2 linked regions of the Solanum lycopersicum genome follow. The protein of the gene in region 2 interacts with the protein of the main gene of each other region in a pairwise test. Links are inferred from orthologs where the notes say so. Each region holds a gene or a part of one and is shown on either strand. Other genes may lie near its edges. The genes, in order: phantastica; protein PEP-RELATED DEVELOPMENT ARRESTED 1, chloroplastic.

Evidence for each region.
Region 1: the proteins of protein PEP-RELATED DEVELOPMENT ARRESTED 1, chloroplastic (region 2) and phantastica interact in binary tests that used the Arabidopsis thaliana proteins (3 or more experiments, as listed by UniProt). The link is inferred for Solanum lycopersicum from reciprocal best matches to the Arabidopsis thaliana genes AT5G48470 and AS1.

What each region holds. Positions count from the first base shown.
Region 1 is NC_090808.1:4,657,706-4,662,106, forward strand, and holds the start of phantastica, read right to left. Parts: upstream 2,900-4,401; 5' UTR 2,750-2,899; intron 2,241-2,749; exon of another isoform or gene 2,063-2,240; intron 271-2,062; 5' UTR 221-270; coding exon 1-220.
Region 2 is NC_090808.1:43,952,543-43,956,804, reverse strand, and holds the start of protein PEP-RELATED DEVELOPMENT ARRESTED 1, chloroplastic, read right to left. Parts: upstream 2,811-4,262; 5' UTR 2,348-2,810; coding exon 2,018-2,347; intron 1,540-2,017; coding exon 1,384-1,539; intron 690-1,383; coding exon 621-689; intron 527-620; coding exon 356-526; intron 1-355. UniProt on the Arabidopsis thaliana protein: Plays an essential role in early steps of chloroplast development. May be involved in the redox control of plastid gene expression by maintening the redox state around chloroplast nucleoids.

The sequences.
Region 1 (4,401 bases), about 39 Mb from region 2:
GTAGTTGTATAACAAGACGCTGCTCGTCTTCAGTGAGTGATCCTTTTTTAATCCCTGGTTTGAGGTAGTTTTTCCACCTTTCTAAACAAGACTTCGCGTCCCTGTTAAGGGGCGTGTTCATACGCTGTGATACAAGGTGCCATTCTTTTGGTCCATACTGTCTCACGTATGCTCGCAACAAAGCATCCTCTTCAGCTCGCCACCGTTGCCTCTCCCTCATTTCCAGGTGTAAACACCAGTTTCCATCCTCCCAAACTCCTCATAATTTTCCTGAAAGAATGTTTCGCACCATTTTACTTGCAATACTTGAGTATAGAATCTGAACCATAACTTAAGCAAGCTATTGATCACAAACAAAGTACATGCAAGTGCATCACATTTAATGTAGTTACTAAAATCTTAACTTGTATGGGAAGTCATTACAACGCCCCTAAATAAAATACCGTCACAGTAACAAAGGATCATGATCGTTCAGTAGGACTTCAACAAAGGAAACTCATGCAATGTTCCAGTACTCGAGACATATCCAAGAGAAGAATACAACTGATTGCTCATATACAAAACTTAATAGAAAATAGATAATGAGAACAAATGATGTACATATTTTAAACACAGTCAACATGCTAGTTCCAAATAAAACACGGCCTCAAAAATTGGGACAGAGGGAGTAACTCTGTTCTAACCGCGTTATTTAGGGGTATCAGGTCATAATTTTCAAGAAAGTGCTGCTATGTCAATCTGGTATCACTACTCAGGACCAGATCAATATTAAAAATAATGTAAAATTGAGTTGGCATTTCTAGAAGACATCATTAATCAGATAGAAATAAGAAAAGAATCGAAGAATATATTCACATTTACTTTTGTTCAGACCCTTCGTCATTGAACTATTAACATGAACAGAGACCAGACTAGCCACATTCGAAGGTCACATCTAAGATATATGCAGAAAAGACTGTAAAGAAAAAACGAAAGCAGACGTGTGTGCACACAAGTAGATTGATTGAAACATGCTTTACATAAATCATTTGATGCAATATATTAACAATGTACCGGCATAATTGTATGATTACACGGATCATTAATAATCAGACATCACAATACTCAATCGGCTTCACTATCTAGATCGATATCCTTCTTGACCAGCATTGAGGTACAAGATCATTGCAAGTGCATAACAAACACAAAAAAGAACTCAGCAGAATATGATGATGCAAATTAAGTAACACCCTTCTTCCTAGATTACTTAACACATGTTCATTTAGCTCAATTGCAATAACCCTTTAAGAGTACTAAAGTTTTCATGTCCAAAAATATCTATGAAACATCAAGCTCTGAGACTACTACAACATACTCAGTGTAGTCACACAAGTGGGATTTCGGGAGCATACGAAATACACAGACCATACCTACCTTTGTGGGGTAGAGACGTTGTCTCTAATGGACTCTCAGGCTCAAAAAATAAGTTTTTTGAGGAAACGAATACACTATCAAAATAGCTAGACAAAAAGCAAGAAACACCAGATAACCACAATGAGACTATCCACAGAAATTGAGTGACACATATCTTCAATATATCAAGATAGAGAATAAAACAAGCTTAACGTGAGAAAACACAATAAAGATGGGAGAACTTTTATGCAAAATGTAATTAGGTAGTTATACCAGAAAATGTATTGACAACAAATAGAAAGATTCAAGACTAGCAATATAAAAACAACTCTTAGTAAGATCTGAGTCAAAAACAAACATGGTAGAGATTTCAACATTTTCCTAGTTACAGTTGAAGCCAAATTCTGCAAAAAGGCACAGAGATGATGGAAATGCAAAGCATTACAGCCAAAAGATGGATTCCTTATCTTCTCCACATATAGCATAAAAACCATACATGTAAATGCAAGAACAAAAAGACACAATTCAGTTTAAGACAAGCATCTTAAGAAAAAAATTTCCACACACAATCCAACACTGAAAAACAAACACAAACATAACATAGTAGAAAGCATCCATCATATCAGTTTGATTACAGAACCATAAAGGGAACAAGACTTGAGAATCTTACAAGAAGCCTCAAAGGAAGCACAATTCTTGCTTCAACCTATTAGATCTTTCAGTATTTTTTTCATGAAAAGATGCAGAAACCAGATTGTGCAATATGGGACAGAAAAAATGGTAATGCAGAGGCCACTAGAGCAAAAAGATAGATTCTTTATCTCCACCAGACATACATGTGAATACTTGAAAGAACAAAAACACACAAATCAGTATTTAAAAAAATAAAGAAACAAGCTGCCAGCACTGAAAAACTCCACTTCCCAGAAAACACAATAAAGTCAAAAAAGAAAAATACCCATCAAATCAGTTTGATCACAGCATCAAAAAAGGAGACAACTTTTCATAGACTTACAAAAGAACTCACAAGATACCACTTAGGCATCCCAGTTCTTAGCTCAACCCATATAATCATTTTTAATCTATTTCAAGAAAATATGAGCAAAAAGATTAAAAAAAAAATGCAGTGACCAAAATGATAATGCAGAGACCACTAAAGCAAAAAGATAGATTCTTTATCTCCACCAAATACAAACCATTAATATAAATTCTTGTTAAGACAAGCAAACACAATTCAGTAAACCAAAAAAAAAAAAAAGCAAACAACTTTATAAGACTTACCCACAACAGAACACATCATTTTGATCACAGAATCAAAAAAAGGAGCAAACTTTAAGAGATTTACAAAAGAACTTACAAGAAACAACTTAGGCATCCCAGTTTCTAGCTCGACCCATATGATCTTTTTTATTATATTTCAAGAAAATGAGTAAAAGAAAGAGAAAAAATTGAAGGATACACTACGTTTAAGCAAAAGAGAAAATGAAGAAGAAGAAGAGAGATGAAACAGAAAATAAAGGGAAAATGCAGAGTAATAAGAGAGAAAAGAGGTAAGGTATGGCCCTCTCTGTTTGAAGAATGACGTGTATAGAGAATGTGATGACGAAGACGGCAATGGCGTCTTTAACCAGAAAGGTTATTTGTACACACGCACTATTATACAACTAGTGTTGTACATCTTCTTAGAGGGTAAAATTCAAAAAAAAAAAAAAGTTAGAAGTATCACCACCTCAATTCAAATTATCGCAAAGAGTTGCTCGTATAATAAATATTTATGTTTTTACTTTTAATATTGTGAATTTAAGTTATCAAGTGAATAAAAATATAAAAATTCTATCGAATAAATAAAAAGATGAAAACTTTCTGAGAAGGAATATAAGTTCTTTCATTGTAAAAATATTTTAGCTTTCGAATTTAAGTTCAAGATTATATATTCAAAGTAAAGTGAGAGGCGAAAGATTCAAATAGTAAAAAGTTCAAATCATATAGTTATATTGAATTGAAGTCTAAGATCATTATTTATTGCGATAAATATGACCATTAAATCACAACTATATGAAAAATTCACATTATTATTATTATTATAAAATTTGAACTCTAATATCTTATTAAAGTTGGTCTCATCTATCGATGTTGATGGTTATGATAAGTCTGTAGTTTGAATGTTGGTTGGTAATTAGAATGTGTGTATAATATTGTATAATTTTTTAAAATTAATATATTTTTGTTTGTATAAATTTATTAATTTGAATTTATACAAAAAAAAAATATTCAATGGTATAAACCTATCCGTTAATTATACTAACTCATCTGCAGATTATACAAGGCAATTTAAATTATAGTTAAATTTCGAAAATATGTGAACTATAGCTATAGCTATAAATGTATTTTTAGATGTTATGTTAAAAGTTTCAGTGTATAGAGTACAATGTTCAATTATAAATTAAAAAAGATGAAATATTAAACATAGCATAATAAATTTTCATCTAATCCTTATTTTATTAAATATTGTCACTACGATAAAAATAACTTTTAGCAGTATTAAATATTGACATTAATAAATAATGTTAAAGTTTTTACCGATATTAGTTAAGTGTCATTAGAATCAATATCGCTAAAAACTATAAAAATATATATAAAAAATGACAATTGCTAATAAAAATATATATTTAACAACAATTAAAAATTGATTACAATTAATAATCATTTTTATTGTACTAAAAATAATATATAGTACACATGAATTGTTTTGTGCTGAGTTTTATAAAATAAAAAAAAAGAAGTAATAAGCTATCAAATATGTATTACTAAAAATAATAGCACGTATTAATTTCATAATATATAAATATGCTATTTAACTTGGCTTCAAAACATAATTATGCCCTTCAATTTTGGATGTATACAAATATACACTTAAACTTGTATAAAGTTGAACAAATAGACACACATGTCCTGTATGTCATCCTACAGGTCATTTTTTATCCTACGTGTATTATGATATATAGAACT
Region 2 (4,262 bases):
TTGAGAACAAAAATAAATAATGAATTCAGCATTGAGCACAAGTTTCTTACAGCTTACATATAACCAGCATCAACACTACAAATTGTCTGACCAAGATGGCTGAACAGAAGTTTTAACATCAATAGATGAAAATATTGATCTAACCATTTTCCAAAATGTGTTACATAATGCACAGTGTGGTGCCTTATGGTCTCTACAAACCAGATGTTCCATACCATGTAAAGTTTGTGGTTTCTAATAACCTGCACCCTAAGGGACCCGCAGCCAAATGAAATTGATGCAAAACAAATTATTTTAGACTTAAATACCAAAAACTGGTTAGTCTCCTGACTATGCATATACATTAAGAGCCTACCTCCAGAATATCATCCGCTTGGTTAGCTATATCATTCAAATTTGCCCCAGGAAGATGGACTTTTGTCCCATTCTCACTTTGAAATACTCCACCACCAGCAGCAACTCGCCTGAGCAATTCATGTCTGCTTTCTTTTTGAGGAGTTCTACAGAGCAGGCCTATGACTTGAACCTAGAAAACATACAAATCCAATTCAATGTCAGATCAAAGACTAGAGCATCAATGCTGCTAATAATGTAGTCATTCAGCATACTAGCATACTCACATGAGGGGGGCACTTCTTGGTAAGATGGGATAATACAGTCTCCTTGATAACTTCCAAGAGTGATTTGCGCTAAAAGAAACAACTTTGTTAATCACATACCCACCCAGAAAACCTCTTGTATCAATGCAGTACTCTACAGGAATCAAATGGACATGAACTGGGCACAAAATGGAAATATATATATAATATATATAAAAAGACTATAATATGGATCAGATATCCAGCTTGATATCTAATCAAATAACATTCAGTCTAGCCAACAATCAAGGAAAATTGATTATAGAGAAGGTTCCCTTTAATGCCTTTAATTCTTTAATTATCGCTTCTTCAACCCGATGCTCTTGGCAACTTTTTCTATCAAGAAATAAATTACCCATACGATGAAAAGGCTAAAATGAGAGAACCTGACTATTTACTAGAGAAATCAGCATCAATAAGCTTCTAAATGAGACACCTATTACTTCATTACATCTTGTACTAGGCAAAAATTACATGAATATCATCAACAACAACTATTTGTTACTAATCCATCTCCAATGGCAGCACACAAATTATCTTACCACAGAAAATGTACCAGATGTGTCGACAGTGAAAACTAATAAATCAATTGCTCATGGCAAAATAATGATAGGTGGGACTATGAAGTATAAACCACGCATACTATGAAATCGAAATATGATTCCACGAACAAAAGAACTGGTTAAGGGAAAATAACAAGGAAAAAAAAAGAAAAAAAAAAGATCAGGAACCTTAATAATACTACCTTATCATCCTGGTCGTTGTCAGCAGTTTGGATCATGTAATCAAGGGCCATCATGAACCCGGACTCCATTTCATCAACTCTTTTCCCAATCACTCCTTGTGCAGCCAATTGCACTGCTACCTCCTCAGATGCTTCATCCATCTTCATATCTTCCAACTGTTTCATAAAATATGTATCCAACAAAGTATATTGACGAGATGAATAACTACTCCAGCTGACATACTGAAGTAACCACATAAGCGACTTGAACGGAAAAAAAAAGGGGGAAAATTCTATCTTTTTATTACTTACATATTTGTATCCATACCATTATCCATTTCAACATCACAAATTAGTATACAGGATAAGCTTCATTTCTAGGGTTACTAGCTATCAAGAATTAAGACCACACCCTTCAGATAACAATACAGAGACTTCATAAAATTCCTAAGAGAAGCACATTCACATGGACTGTGAAATCCTAGTACCTCTGATATTTAACTTGATTAACAATTAAACAGGAACAAATTCAATGAACACCTAAAGGGTTTAGGGTTTAATTTTTCTAGTAATCAAACACACAGAAGAATTGTAGTTTTAAAAGTATATCATCACAAAGACAAATGAAATATAATACAATTAAGGGAAAACATACTAGCTTGGCCATTTCTTCAAGGACGGAGGTAACTTGTTCACCACCTTTAAGAAGAACTTGATACTGAGAAGTATCAAAATCTCCGACTTCATGTCCATGATTTTCCATTCTTCCATTTTGAGCTCCGAATTCCTCCGCCAAAGAACCTGCGCCGACCTCGTTACTCGTACATAATGCCGAAAGGTTCAGTCTGCAGGATGTCTTCAGCTGCAATGAATACTGATTGGGGATTTCCGGTTGAAGAAAATAGTATAGTGATGGAGTCGAGTAACGAGATAGACTTGCAGGAGTAGCTCCACAGAAAACGATAGGGATGGACAGAAATGCCATGGATGAAATGACCAACGACGGAATTACAATCTTTTCTTTTGGGGGGTGGAAATGGAGATATTGCGGGAGAGGGGTAAGATCATTGTTATTATTATGGAAAAGGTCAAAATATTCGTAAACTATTTAAAATAATTCATATTTAAATTAAAATTACCTTTTTAAGAAGATAGCACTAAGTATGTTTGTTTCTAGCCTGCAAGCTTGGCCCAAACTTCAATTCATAGCACTAAGTATGGTTGTTTCTAGCCTGCAAGCTTGGCCCAAACTTCAATTCATACATCAGTTTCTCTTAGTAGTTTGGTACTCTTCAAGCTTCTTATAGGCCAAACTTGTGAAGCTTCACAATGGAGTTGCGAAAATAAAAATATATGAAGTTTTCGAAATGAATACGAGAAATTAGGGGAAAGGGGTGATTAAAATGGTTTCAAATGGAAATAGAAAAATGAGAAGAAGAATTAGGATTAAAATCTTATTATTAGTCTACGTGGAAATGAATGAAATTGGGGAGCTTATATGGTATGTCATGTGGCATTCACCTTTAACAAGTTTCATTAATAAGAAGGATAATTTTGACCCAATAATATTACAAGAAGCATAATTTTGGGCCGAAATATAGTTTAAGAATAAATATAAGTTATTTCGAATAATTTAGAGGAACTTTTGAGCATTTTCCATTATTATTATCACTTGTTTTGTTATATTTGAATAACGTGTCACAACTACAAGCTTATAACTTTTGACATCGTCTTTGTCCTTTTGGTGTGAATCGTGTAATGATATGTAAATCACTTAAAATATATAAATAGTACTATATAAGCACTATGTGATACGCTCGACTCATAAAATATTAAAATGATTAATTCCAAAGTCATCTATACACTACAAACCAAAATCGTCAATATGTAATCTATAAAACAGAAAAAAGGAAATGAAAAATACGTCAATCCACCATCATATGGTTAAAAACCATGACCGTCCATGTCATTTTCACCTTCTCCATTCTAATTGAGTAAATCCCCATCATATTTTTTTTTTTTGAATTAAAAATTCACCTAAATATTTTTGTTTCCTTATAAAAATATTTGATACATCTTTCCTGGTGAGATGGCATATGTATTATTATAATATTCCCTTTTTGTTTACAATATATTTTTTACCTTTTTGAATCATCCATATTTAATGGGGATAATGGTATAGAACGACAAATTAATAATATAAAATAAATATAGTAGTTACCGTTTTGATTTATTTGTGTTTCATAAAAAACTTTTTGTCAGTCACTCTCTCCCTCATATTATCGCTCGCTACTCTCCCTCTCTCGCTCGCTTCCTTTGCTCGCCTCTCTCGCTTTATACAATAGAATTGTATAAATTGTGTATCTAATTGTACAAAGCGAGAGAAAATTGTATATACACATGCAAATACATATATCTCCGTCTTATTCACTTACAATTATAAAATAAAAATACTTTCCTGCCTAAGTCTCTTTTGTCTTTCTCTCTTTCTCGTTTTATACAAATTCAAATTGTATATAATTTCTCTCTTTCTCGTTTTATAAAATTCGACTCAATAGTATATTCTCTGTCCAAGTCTCTTTTGCCTTTCTCCTTTCTCGTTTTATACAACTCAAATTGTATATAATCGTCATATACACTTATAATTATGTAATACGTTTTATATACTTCGTTTTATACACTTCATTTTATACAATTTTCTGCCCAAATCTCTTTCTCTTTCTCATTTTACACACTTCTTTTTATACAATTCACTTCAATTATATATGTATAGCGAATTATACATATATATGTTTGCTATGGAGCGCAACCATGCAAACTTTGTTATAACATACAAATATAAAATTTATGGTTGTCATGTGTGAAAGTTTCGCTATTTGATTTTGTACTTCTTCTATCCC